Ovis aries: one gene and its partners. The protein of the gene in region 1 interacts with the protein of each later gene in a pairwise test. Links are inferred from orthologs where the notes say so. Each region holds a gene or a part of one and is shown on either strand. Other genes may lie near its edges.

Region 1 (4,062 bases):
GTCGCTGAGCCCCCAGACTGGTCACAGCACATCCCTGCATCTGCAGAACGCCCCGGGTTCCTGAGAGCCCAGGCCTAGGCCTCAGCGCACCCGCAGCGCTGGCTCAGGGGCACGCACTGGCTCATGCCGCCTGGTGCAGGGCTACGGAGCATCGCAAAGCGGACACTCCCAGAGCTCACCTCCGAACAGCCTCTGCTTCCGCTCCAGCCCCAGAACTGCCGCCTCAAACTCAAGTTCCAAACTCTGCAGCCACGAACAGGGTCCCTGACCCCACGTCCAGCCCTCCAGCCATCTCCCCGGCCCCACGGCCCCCACGCTCCACCAGGCTTCCGGCCTGCACACTGCGGCCCCCTGGTCACCGCAGTCCCTTGCACACGCCTCATCAGCAGGAAGCGCATGCGTCACTGCCCCTGGTACCTTCCCATCCTCCTCTGCAAAGCCGGCCCATCGGTCAGGATGTGCCCTTTGGCTGACCACGAGTCACAGCTGACACACCAAGGCCCCCCGCCCACCCCCGTGTCACTCTGTCGGAAGAGCCGGCAGCAGCCACGCCTTCTCCAGCTCACCCCTGCCCCCAGCACAGCCGTCTGAGCAGGGTTCTGGCCACACTGACAGGGCGGGTCTGGCTGTGGTGGATGCTGAGCCCCTGGAGGCAAGGCCAGGGGGCTCCCCCAGGCACACAGGGCTTCAGAGCACCCGCAGCAGGCCCACCCACCAAGAGTCAGCCTCACAGCGCAGTGTCCTCAGCTCCTCAGAAACCAAAAGGCGCCCCGCACACGTGCTAGATAAAAGCCGTGACGCGAGGCACGTATGTGTCACGAAGACCCCTCGCCACTCGAATTCATCTCTGCCACCGTCTTCACTCACGCCCACCTGTGTGCACATGCCCTGCTACCTTCGTGATGCTCAAGAGTCCCAGGAAAACTTCACCCAAATCAAGTGACAGAGAGGGGCAGGTTCACTGTGAAACAAACCGCGGCCCTGCACGCCACCCTCCTGCCTTCCGGAGGGACAGTCTGCACAGGGACCCCGGTCCTGAGCCTTGCCCCCTACCTCCAGGGCCTAGCACCCTCCCCATCCCCCGCCCTGCCCCTCCACCTGACAGGTGGCACCCGCTCCGTCACGTGGCCCCACTTCTAACGCTCCAGCCCCTCTACAGCCACAGCGCAGAGAGCACAAGGCCACGACCATGCACCAGGCAGGGGCTCAGCCTGGGCTCCCTGAGCGCCAGGCCTGCGCTCTTGCCTGCTGCGGCCACTCGTCCAGAGGCTCAGGGATGCCGCCCCGTGCAAGAATGGACAGGAGACGCTAACCCACAGGGCACCCGCCCGTCCACACTGCTGGAGACGAGCTTTCTCCTGAGTGTCTGTCTGCCTCTGCGTACATACATTTGAGACTTGGGTGGGGGGATCCTGGAGAGGGAGAAGGTGCCCCCGCGGGGTAAGACCTGCAGACCCCACTCTGGACCCCTCATGTGCGACCCAACTGTCCAGTCATCCAGACAAACGGGAGGGGTGGTATCACTCCTCGGGGCGGGCTCGGAAGAAAACCAATCCCATCGCACGCCCCAACAGCGAGCCTGTCCTAACCAACCACAGAGAAGAGCATCACCGGAAAGGAGGCTGCCCGCCACAGGCCGCCCTCCCGGCAAGCCCAGGGCCGGGGGTGGGGGGGGACCCTCCGCGGCAGGCAGGCACCGGCCAGAGGGAGCCCCGCCCGGACCCACGGCCGCTCCTGCGTCCACAGACCTCGGAGCCCGGGGCCCGGACGCGCCCCCAGCGCGAGGGGGGCCCGGCCGGGGGAGCTGGGCCTGCTCGGGGGCAGTGACAGGTGGACACGGCCCGGCCCGACGGCGGCGGCGCGCGGCGGCCAGCAAAGCCCCACCGCGGGCCGCCCCCGGCCGCAGGCTCGGGGCGCCGCCCGGGCACGGAGTGCGCCTGCTCCCCACACTTGACAGAGCAAGGAGGGGACGGGGTGAGACGGACGCGGCCACAACCGTCCGGCCGCTCGGGCGGACACGGGCCCGGGCCGGGTGTCACCCCCGCCGCCGCGCCCCGTCAGACGTTTCCACAGCGGGGCCGCAGTGCACGGGGGCGCAAAGCCCCGGAAGGCCCAGCCCCAGAGGACTCGGGGCCGCCGGCGCGCCCGGCCTCCCTGCGGGGCCCCGCCGGCAGGAGCCCCGCCAGCCGGGACCGCAGGGCGGACAGGCCGGCAGGGCCCCCGCCTCGGGCGCGGAGTCCCGGCCGCCACGGTCCTCAGGGCCCCGCACCCCTTTGTGTCACCTGCGCGGGCGGGCGGGCGGGCGGGGCGGCGGCGCACGCGCACTCGCGCACAGCAGCCCGCGCACGCGCGCGGCGGCCCCCGCGGCCCTGACCCCGGCCCCGCCCCCCGGGCGCCGGCGCGCACGCAGCAGCCCGCGCATGCGCACGGCGCCCCCCGCGGCCCCGGCCCCCGGCGCGCGGACGCCGGCGCGCACGCGCACTCGCACACAAAGCCGGCGCCCGCGCCCGCCCCGCCCGCCCCCGCGGCCCCGCCCCGCCCCGCCCCCGCGGCCGGAAATGCGCGCGCGCGGCCTTACCGAGCGGCAGGCCCTTGTTGAGCAAGTGCGAGCTGCCCATGGAAAGGTGCGGGCGGCCGCGGGCCCCGACCAGTCCGGCGCGCTCCGCCGCGAGCCCGGCGCGTGGCGCGGCCTGGGCGCCGTCCGCCGCTCCGCCCGCTTGCCTGCGCCCGGGCGCCGCCGTGCCGAGCCGCCGCGCCGCGCCAGCAGCCGCTCCACCGGGCGGGGACAGGGCGCGCGCGCGGGCGGGGCTTCCGGCGCGGCGGCCTCCTGTTTCCAGGAGCGGGCGCCGCGCAGACCACGCGGGCGGCTGCAGGCCGCGCCCGCCCGCCCCGCCCGCCCCCCGGGCCCGGCGCCCCGCCCCGCCCCGCCGGCCGCACCTGCCGGGCGCCCCGCGGGCCCCGCGCGCGCTCTCGCCGCGGCCCCCCGGCCTGGAGCCCGCTGAGCCCCTCGTGCACCTTCCCGCGTGCTCCCATCCCCGCACCCACGCGCCGGCCGCCGAGCGAGCGGCGTCTGCGACCCCGGGTTTTAAGGGTCCTTTGGGCTCCTTGGGGCCACGAGGTCGGGGGAGGCAGCGGCGCCGCCCCCGGAGGTTCCTCTGAGATAACCGGCCCTTGTGCTTGAGATCCGGGGACCGAGGAGGGCACAGGCCTGGGCGGGGCAGCTCCCCCGGAACCGGGGCGGTGGAAGTGGTCCCTGGGAAGCGGCCAGGTATGTGGCCGAAGTCGGTGTAAATCCGACCTCCCCCACCCCACCCCCAGCCCCAGCGAGCGACCTGTGCTTCGTTCCAGAACTCCCGAGGGGTCCTGGCACTCGAGGGTCAGGAGGGCTCTCCAGGGTGGGAGGTCGCCAGGCCCCAAGGTCAAGGTGCTCCGGTCATGGGCAAGGACGGAGGCTGACCCTGGGAGACCGTGATGTCTAGAGCAGGGGTGTCCTGGCAGTGGGAATGCTGGCAGGTGGCCTTGAAGACGGGCAGTGCCCCTGTCTTCACAGGTGAAAAGCACGCTGAGCAGGACAGCAGTTGGCTGGTGAAACGCGAGGAACCGTGCTGAGCGCAGCTGGCCTCCACATCCTGCACATCCACAAGCCAGTGAGAAAGGGTGGGTGGGTTTGATAAGCGTCGATAGGGGAACTGGGCATCTAGCCACAGAACAGATGCTTTTAAATTCGTGCTTGGTACTCACCTGTGAGATTACCTCCCAAATTGGGTTAATTAGAACATTTAGGGGAAATGAGAAAACAGGGTTAAATGAACATTCAGCAAGTCTCAGAGAACTTTCCTGAACACAGACAAAACCACTCACAAGGGAAAGCCCGGACCCCCAGACCTGGGCACGTGTCTGGCCCGCACACCCCTCTGGCTCTCTCAGTTAACAGGATGGGGCCCCTGAGGCGACTCCTCCAGCCCCTGCTGTCCGAGACCAGGGTTCTCCTTCCCTACCCGGGCCCCAGCCCAAGGTCACCTGCCCCTCTCCAGCCCAGCAAGCTGCGCAGTGAGCGTGAGA
Region 2 (2,390 bases), on another chromosome or scaffold:
GCTCAGCACCCTGGTCCTGGCTGCTCCCGCCATCCACTTGGATGTGCTGGACGCCTGATATCTGTGCTGCCTCCTGCTGGGGACCAGACAGAGGCAGCAGAAGCAGAGGCTGAGGTAGACCGTGCCTCTGCCCTGCAGCAGGACCTGAGGAAGTCAAAGGCCGCCTCTGGGGTGAATCTGACTAACAGCAACCAACACAGAGCTGGCTAAATTCATTCTGAAATGTGAGCTCTCGCCAGCCTCCCACATCTCAGAGCTCTGGCCGAGCCCTGGTGACTTCATCCTCTGAGTTCCTTTTCAAGCCCTGTGTCTCAGGCTTGAGAGAACCTTAGCAACCACACTCTTCCTCCTATCTTGAAATGGGAATTCACGGCCACCTTAGCTTATCACTACCCTTCCTCCCTACATATCACTGAATAGAGACAAGAAAATCATTGCTGCAAGCACCCCCCCCCCGCCCCCCCACCAAGGCCCCACGCTGCTGGCCTGAGGGCCTGGGCCTAGTCGGACTGCTCCTGGGACGATGGCTGGCTGGGCTCGCTCGGCCCTTCCACATCCTGGTCATCTGTGAAGGACAGAGAAGAGGGGCTGGATTGAGAAAGAGGGGAAATCACCTGTTTTCACACATAAGTTTTCTACAAGGCATCACCATCATTGCCAGTCCCTACAGAGAATTAGTTATTCCCATTCCTACTTTTAATTTGCTAGGAGTCAGGAAACTGGGATTCTAGCCCTGGCCAGAGGATATAGACTCAAGTTCAGACTCCAGCTCTGCTTGTCACAAGCTGGGTGGCAGGAAGCGAGCTACTCTCAGCTCTGAACCTCAGCGTCTCCTTCTGTCCATTAGAAGGTGCTTACTATGCAGCATCATGGTTGGCATGGGGATTAGGGACAACAGTGAGAACAATCTTTACCAATGCCTTCGTCATTTTAGGTTTTGTTTAATCCTCAGGATGAGCTCATGAGGGAAGGGACCCTTCATTAGTTTGCTCTTGCAGATACCGAAACTGAAGCACCGAGGAGTGAATGAACTTGCCCGAGGTCACACCGTGGGCAAGTGCTGGAGCCAGGACTTACACCCAGGCTGTGCGGCACCAGGGCCATCGTACTTCAAGTCACACTGTACCACTTCCCCAGTTAACAGATCTAGGCATCGGACATACAACAGGCCTCGGTTTCTTTTCTTAAGGAGCCTCAGGGGAGGACTGAAAGAGGGAAGAAAAAATCCTACAACTTTTAAAGCTTCAAGGGCCCTCAAAAGAAAACCCTCACAGTAACCCTGTGACAGGGCCCACTTAACAGGTGAGAAGACTGAGGCCCAGAGGAGGGTGTGAGTGCCCAAGATCACCCAGTGCACCAGTGACCGAGCTGTGAAGGCCAGAGTGGCCCGAGCCAGAGGAATCATCCCCACCAGCCCCAGGCAGGCTCAGCACGTGCTGCTTCCCCAGCCAGAGAGGCCTGGCACCTCTGGTCCTTCGGCACCACGCGCGTGCCATCCTCCATGTTTTGCCCACAGGAACTGTTAAGGTGAGGAAATTAGCGTTGAAGCTGGAGCCAGACAGAGACTTCTGTTGGAACCCGAGCTGCACCATGTACATATGTGAGACCCTCTCAGGGTTCTATCACAGTTTCCTCACCTGAGAATGGGGACTCACCTCCCCTAGAAGTTCATGTATGGAATTTAAGAGAGCGGTGCCAGGAAAGAGTTTCCCCAGGGCCCAGGACATTGAAAATCCTATTCTCCATTTCCCTGCCCTCCACGCCCACGTCATAGTAGGACCCCCATCCTCCAGAGTCTTCCTGTGTCCCTCGGCAGCTGGAAGACGGGGCCTCACTCACCGGTGTTCTCCTTGTCCGTGTCAGACAGGACGGTCAGCGAGAAGGTTGCTGGAGGCGGTGGGGGCAGCGGCGGCAGGAGGAAGTGGAGCGCAGACAGCAAGCCCGGCGGGAGGAATTGAGGCTGCGGCGGCTGCCCCAGTGGCGGCTGCCCCAGCGGCTGGTAGTAGCTTGGCTGGAAGTCTCCCACAGGTTCCGCCACCTGCAGGGCACACACAGCAGGCAGTCAGAGGGCAGAGGGTGAGCCAGGGGGCCGATCCCACATTCAGGCCCCTGAATGGGGGCTCCCTGTGGAGGTGATTCATCTCTGCAGCCCAGACAGTGGAGCACAGGATACTCAGAACAGGGTGTTCAGCAAACCCCTGCCAGCTGACTGAAGGCAAGGACGGACACAAGCACAACGCAGAGAAGCCTGGGGAGCAGCTGCATTTGAGTATGTCTACAGCCTCATTCTATCCTGACGACCCTAGGAGGGAGGGTCCATTAACCATCCTCACTGCAGCGACAAAAACCAGCATCAGTGAGAGACGGTACAGGCCCAGGCCAGAGCTGGG
Region 3 (3,500 bases), on another chromosome or scaffold:
AGGGGCCTGGCTAGTACCACTGAGAAAATTATTAACACTCACTCACCTCTTATCCCTGGTGGAGGGGGTCTCATTCCTGGAGGGGGCATGCCTATTGGTGTCCCACGAGTAGGAGGAAGCCCAATTGGTGGGCCCATGGGTGGTCTCATACCAGGTGGAGGAGCCATAATTCCTAGAAAGAAAAATGGCAGGAAAAAAAAGGCACATAAATCAGCTAAGATGGTAGCATAAAGCACAAGATAATAGTTAAAAAAATAAGCCAGGTAGTAAGTAAAGAGTTGAACAAATTTCTCCTTGACCACTGCTACGTCAGATCATCCCAATTCAAGAGTCCATAGCTTTTCATTAAAAATCAATGGCCAAAAGTGAAAACATATTCCAAGTTCCTAGTTAGGGAGTTAGGCTGAGCCTTAATTCAGTATCTTCTTAAAGAGTGATTTTGGTCATCATGATTTTATTTCACAGATCCACATTGGTATCTAACAACCAAATTCTTTTAGAATTCCTTTTAGAACCGAATTCTCCACCAATTCCTTACCTGGAGGTGGGGTTGCTCGACCAACAGGTGTAGGTGCAGTCCCCCGTCCTGGTGGATACTGAGTTGGAGCTCCAGCAATGCTGGCAGTAGCAGCAACTGCAGCAGCTGCTACAGTGCCTCTTCCCTGTGGGGTCATTACCTGAGAAAGAACACACAGATAGACAGCAAATATTAACACTTCCTCACATCATTCAAATACAGAAAATAAAAGGCTGATCATACACTATTTATTAAACATAAAGTAATTATAGTAATTCTGCACTTCTCCCATTTTTCTCATTTAAAGCACACTATCACCACTATCACACTATCCTTTAAAATGAACATGTCCACTTTTAACCTCATCAGCCCTTTGCATGCTCAACTCTGGTTTATCCATCCATATTCCTCTTTGCTCATCAGTGCTGAGTTACTGCTATCATGGTGGCTTCATAATGTATATTTTTACCTCTCTTCCCTCTACAGCATATACTGCTTTACGCAGTACAGGATGTTCACTCAGTTTTTTCTACCTCCTCAATATCAGATTCCAGGTACTTTCTCTCAATAACATTCCTGGTTCCTCACCTGTTGAGATGGGCCCCCAACCCCTCGGACAGGTCCTGCTAATCCAGCAGGAGCCTGGGGAATTGGAACACCAGCTGGAACGCCTCTGCCAGCTGCCCTGCCAACCCCAGGGCCCCCTGCAGCTCCAGCAAGTGGTACCCGAGCAATGCCAGTCTGAAACAAAAAAATACATATATAGCTTGAAATCAAATTTATGAAACCTATCTATCAATAATCATTCCTAAATAATTACCTCTTTCCAACATTTTCCCATATACCCTATCTCATATGAGGTTCTATATTGAAAATAGCATCAAGAGAAGCATCCTACAGACTAGATGTACACTAGTCAAATTGGGAGCCCATATATTTTCATGATCCTATCAAGAGAAAATAAATCAGCACTCCTACCCTTAACTAGATTGTAGTCAGCATAACTCTATAGAATATGCTTAATCTCCCATTATAGACAAACAAGAACTTATATCAAGTGCCAGGCACATTTTGACAAAGGTATAGTATACTTTGTCTCTGTTGTACACTCATTTAGCACATAATTCAAACAATGTGATTCCCTCCCACATTAATGTTCTGTCCTGTCCTACATCTTTCTTACATCTTTGGGGGGTGGTCCCTCCACAGTCATGGAAACCAAGTTCTCCCCACGCAACAACACCAGACCCAAAACTCGCTTTTCTTCACGCTCTGGCTGCTTAGCATTCTTTGGCCTATAAACGGGAAGAAAATTTTAGTATGGTAAGTTATGGATCGACTCACTAACATTTTTATAGATAATTACCTATCAAGACAGTAATCCATGCCCAGATAGTCATGCTCAGTTACTGAGTCGTGACAAAAACAAAGAAAACTAGACTCGATATATAACGTGAGCTCTTTTCCTATCATACATCAAACTTTCAGAATATTCCCTCAATGTTGTACTATAGCAAAACTAATTTCTTCTTTGTGAAACATAGATGCAAATAACATTGCTAAGATTCTTTTAATAGTTGTTGCTATTGTTCAACTGGTAAGTCATGCTGACTCTGCGACCCCAGGAACTGCAGCACAATATACTTTCCTATCTTTCACTGTCTCCCAGAGTTTGTTCAAACTCACGCCCATTGAGTCAGTGATACCATCCAATCATCTCATCCTCTGTCACCCTCTTCTCCTCCTGCCCTCAATCTTTTCCAGCATAAGGGTCTTTACTGATAGCAAAACTTAGAATTTTATCTTTCTCCTTCCAGTTTTACTGACATACAATTGACAAACCATACTGTGTTAACTTCAAGGTCTATACCATAATGACTTACTTATTTCATGAAATGACTACCACAATAATTTTAGTGGACCTCCAACATGTCTTACAGATACAAAAGAAAAAAAATGTTTTTCCTTGTGATGAACTCTTTTAATAACTTTCATGTATAACAGACAGCACTGCTAATTTCATTTCTCATGCTCTGCATCACATCCCTTGTACCTAATTATCTTAAAAATGGAAATTCATAATTTTTAACCACTTTCATCCAATTCGCCCCACCACCCCCTGCTTCTGGCAGCCACAAATTCGATCTCGTTTTCTGAGTTTGTTTTTGAAGTATAACTGACCTACAACACTACATTATTTTCTAATGCACTACACAGTAATTCAATTATTTCTGTTATAAGGAGATCATTATAAAGTGATCAACACTGGCTAAGACTTTGAAGACAGGAAACATTGAAACCAAGTTTTTATGTTAAAATGGGATTTAAATCATTTTTAACTAATTAAGTAAATATTGATGACAGACAACTGAAATAAGGGATGAGAACAGCAACAGTCTAATAGCAGACACCTGCTTATTCCTAGACTTACCACATATTATATAACCATGGGAAGTGGCTTCCCAGGTGGTGCTAATGGTAAAGAACTCATCTGTCAATGCAGGAGACATAAGAGATGTGGGTCTGAGTCCTGGAAGATGGCAAGCCACTCCAGTGTTCTTGTCAGGAGAATCTCATGGACAGGGCAGCCTGGCAGGCTACAGTCCATGAGGTGGCAAAGAGTCAGACACAACCAAAGTGACTGAGTATGCATGGGTATAATCAGGGGAAATCTTTCTGAAAACTTTTTGAACTTCTGTTAGTCTAATTTCCTCATGTGTCAGCAGCAAAAGTCATATATGCATACAACTTCTACCATAGAGATAGTGCCTTATTTAGGTGAAATTATCCCTAAAACTACTGAAGAATGAGACATAAATTAAGGATAAAGCACTCTCAGTTGTCTTTAGTATTTATCAAAGTTGTAATTTTTTAAAAATCGTTTCCAGTAAAAATGTAGATTATTTAAACAAAACCTTAACATTGATCATTAACTTAGCATTCATCATCTAGAATTTCTGAAATGACCCAACTTCATATGCAG
Region 4 (3,500 bases), on another chromosome or scaffold:
CATCTTACCAAAATGAACTACAAGAAACAAAAATGTAACAAACTATCAGTTTAAGATAAAGCTGTATAACGCTTTAAGGATTTTAGAAGATAGTCTTAAAAGGACAATAAACTATTTCCTAGATTCTCAAATATTCAAATCTAAAAGGTGCTTTTATGTTCTTTTGCTATTGAATTACGAGGTACAATTCAAGAAGCTTCAAAAGACTCAAAGATTTACTAAAATCCCAAAGTAAGTAACAAGGTCTAATATGTCGTCTACATTGTTCTGTGTGATGTACATACCATCAATACTTCGGAAATCCAATAAATATGTTCTACTATCCACTTGGTATAACTGCAGACTCATTTTGGAGTATGTACTTGTCACAGGATTCTTCCTCCGAACACGCAAATAATACGGGTTTACAACCTAGCGCATGGTATGGACAAAAACAAAGTGAAAAGGAATTCTTCTATAAAACATGATAGACTACAGGTTTGTCAAATGTGCTAATATTCAGAATGCTCTTTCTTTCTTACCTTCCATTCATAATCCAGTTGTTTAATTGCTCTACAAACTTCTGCCATGATATCATTTGGCCGACTTTGACTTCTAATTCCCAAATGCCATTTTGCTTTCCTTACACCTTGGTGTTTAGATTTCTGTGGATTTAATTCATCGAGGGTATGGCGCGCCCTGGGAGTTTCAGCAACCAAGAATGGTACTCTTTCAGGATGGGGCCGGGTCAAGTGGTGATCGTCGAGAAAAGAATCTGGTGGGCTTGTTGCCAAGTAAAAATCTTTGGCCTCGTTCATTATCCTCCTGTTATCTATTATGAGGTGGTAGGCAACTGCCAAAGGGTCCTGGTGATTTCTGTTATAAAGGCAGCTGAGAACCTCCTCCTCTGAGCATTCAAATTTTTCACATACTTCTTTTAAGGCTTCATCATCAATCATGGTTGAGCTATATGATGGATCCTCAGGAAAGAGATATTTTGGAAGGTCCTGTTTAAACCATTCATGTTCCCTGAGAGAAAATGGTAGGTGTCAGAAGGGTTTGGAGGAGAGAGGAGACTGAAAGTAACTGTTTGGGGAATTTATACTCGTACAGTATTATCATTCATACTGTTATCATTTTTTTAAAACAGATTTTTCTCTCTTGGCTCACATTTCATTGTATAACAGAAATGCTCAGCCTTCCTCTCATAGTAAGAGGGAGACAACACTGCTGGAGCAACCAGGGAAGAAGTGTCTACACTTTAAATTTTTGGAACAAATGGCAATGGCATGCTAATGGTAAAGACATCTTATTTCCAGCTCAGAAAAGAACAAAATTAGTCTGTGGTTTCCTCTTGGGATATATTGTTAAGTGAAAAAAATATATAAACAAAAATAGACAGCTTTCACTCATTGAATGCTTACTATGTGGTAGATTTTAAGCTGAACACTTCATATCTGTTATCTCACCTCATTTTCAAACAACTCCAGTAAGATAATAATAATGTCCCCTTATTTTAATGAAGGAACTGAGATTTCCTAATTTTACATATAAAGGGATATTTTTGGACTTCAATTGTATAAAAATATGCTAAAATTTAAAATATTGAGAGGAAACACCCCAAAGAACAAAGATTATCTTCTGGATAATGGAATTAAAGATCATTTAAATTCTCTAATGTTTTTGGTGTTTTCTAAGTCTTTTCCAATTGTCACATATTTCATTTAAATTGGAAAAAAGTAGGTAAAACACAAGAAAAACCACCTCTAAGATATTCTGAAATATAAATTTAGAGATGAATCAGTCCTTCTCTTCTAGTAGTGAAGTCATGACCTACCATTCCTTCTCTTTTTTAGTCTGCAGAAAATGGAGTAAATGGAAAGGAATTAAGCTTTGTTTTTTTTTTTACTGGAGTGTAGTTGGTTTACAATGTTGTGTTACTTTCTGCTGTACAACACAGCGAATCAGTTACACATATATCCACTCTTTTTTAGACTCTTTCCCCATACAAGTCATTACATAGTATTGAATAGGGTCCCCTGTGCTTATAAAGTAGGTCCTTATTATTTATTTATTTTAGGAATCAAACTTTAAGTTCTACATATGCTCTTTCTTCTTCATTGCCCTAATACTTTCGTCTTTACTGGTCCCAAATACATATCTGATTTCTTTCATCCTTCTTCCTCCATCTCAGAGAAATGTTCTATATAGCCATTAGAAGACCAAAAGAGAAATTTCCATTAACGAAAAAAGGAAAGAAAAACAGTGGTAGTAGAAACAAAGTTTGCAGTATTATCTTCATCAGAAATGACCTGCTCAAATTTGAGATTTGTCATCATCACTTTTGCCTTATTTAAACTGTTAGGTTGAACCACATGAAACTGGCAATACTGGTGGACCTTTTACTTACAAAACAATAATTTCATATGTAATTCAATGTATACTACTACAAAAACAACATGTCATTGACTGAATTAAAATGTTCTTATTCCTAGAGATGAACAAAAGGGAAAAATACAGTAACTTGTAAGATGAGAACTCAAAAAGCAATATACAAATTTACTATGAAAAAGTATGAGAATGTGTAAAAGTCAAACATGAAGCATATTACAGAAAATCTTAAAGAATCACTACCAAATCTAATACCCGACTAGGGTCTTTTTTATTTTTCATTACATCTTTTTTTTTTAAATTTAAAAAGTAATGTTCACAGTTACAATTTCAAAACAAATAAAGAAGCATAAGCAAAAAGTGAAAGCCTTTCCTCCTCCTAATCTTACTTCCTAAGGTAGCCAGTTTAGTATTTTTAAATATCAAGATAAAATAAGTTTGAGTCTATACATTGTTTTTAATATAAAAATGGGATTACATTGTACAAACTATTCTGCAAATTTCTCTTTCACTTGACTTATATCACGGATACTGTTAGATCTGACAATCAGATTGCTTTCTCACCTGATATCTTTGATTGTGGCTCTCTTCATGGGATCCACCTGCAGCATATGTTTCAAAAGGCTAATCACAGAAGGATTTAAATATTGAGGGGTATAAAAGATCCCATCACATATCTTCTTAAAAAGAGTTGGCACATGATCATCATCAAATGGAAGGGTTCCACATAATAAAGCGTAGAGAATAACCCCACTGCTCCATATATCTACCTCTGGGCCAGCATACAATCTGCAACAGGAAATACCAACTGGGTTAAACAATCATTAGTAACTTAAGAGTCAATCAATGAATCATACATTTTAAATACAGATATTTTATAAAGAATTATTAGTCAGAATATGGTTTCTATAAGTCACTGCTATGTACTACACATAGAGATTCTACACTAATTCTATCAATATTATCTCAGGACACAAAATTTAAGAATTTTTTTAAAGTTACAGACTATAGCTAAAATTATCTCCTCAGTACCGCACAATTGTCCTATCTTGAGACATCATACTTCAATATAGAGTAAAAGCACTTTGTACCTCCAACTAATAGGGCCAAACTTTGAACAAACATATCAT

Evidence for each region. The genes of interacting proteins can lie anywhere in the genome.
Region 2: the proteins of CTBP1 (region 1) and DMRTB1 interact in a two-hybrid assay, tested with the Homo sapiens proteins (4 studies listed by BioGRID). The link is inferred for Ovis aries from reciprocal best matches to the Homo sapiens genes CTBP1 and DMRTB1.
Region 3: the proteins of CTBP1 (region 1) and SNRPN interact in a two-hybrid assay, tested with the Homo sapiens proteins (2 studies listed by BioGRID and IntAct). The link is inferred for Ovis aries from reciprocal best matches to the Homo sapiens genes CTBP1 and SNRPN.
Region 4: the proteins of CTBP1 (region 1) and PRKAA1 interact in binary tests that used the Homo sapiens proteins (3 or more experiments, as listed by UniProt). The two-hybrid records come from large-scale screens. The link is inferred for Ovis aries from reciprocal best matches to the Homo sapiens genes CTBP1 and PRKAA1.

Annotation. Positions count from the first base shown.
Region 1 is NC_056059.1:117,891,701-117,895,762, reverse strand, and holds the start of CTBP1 (C-terminal-binding protein 1), read right to left. Parts: upstream 2,801-4,062; 5' UTR 2,619-2,800; coding exon 2,579-2,618; intron 2,337-2,578; exon of another isoform or gene 180-2,336; intron 1-179. UniProt on the Homo sapiens protein: Corepressor targeting diverse transcription regulators such as GLIS2 or BCL6. Has dehydrogenase activity. Involved in controlling the equilibrium between tubular and stacked structures in the Golgi complex.
Region 2 is NC_056054.1:27,988,340-27,990,729, reverse strand, and holds the end of DMRTB1 (doublesex- and mab-3-related transcription factor B1), read right to left. Parts: intron 2,039-2,390; coding exon 1,840-2,038; intron 566-1,839; coding exon 501-565; downstream 1-500.
Region 3 is NC_056071.1:1,233,855-1,237,354, reverse strand, and holds part of SNRPN (small nuclear ribonucleoprotein-associated protein N), read right to left. Parts: intron 1,813-3,500; coding exon 1,701-1,812; intron 1,259-1,700; coding exon 1,106-1,258; intron 678-1,105; coding exon 539-677; intron 173-538; coding exon 47-172; intron 1-46.
Region 4 is NC_056069.1:33,878,920-33,882,419, reverse strand, and holds part of PRKAA1 (5'-AMP-activated protein kinase catalytic subunit alpha-1), read right to left. Parts: exon of another isoform or gene 3,160-3,500; coding exon 2,935-3,159; exon of another isoform or gene 1,130-2,934; intron 1,022-1,129; exon of another isoform or gene 1,009-1,021; coding exon 522-1,008; exon of another isoform or gene 412-521; coding exon 285-411; exon of another isoform or gene 1-284. UniProt on the Homo sapiens protein: Catalytic subunit of AMP-activated protein kinase (AMPK), an energy sensor protein kinase that plays a key role in regulating cellular energy metabolism.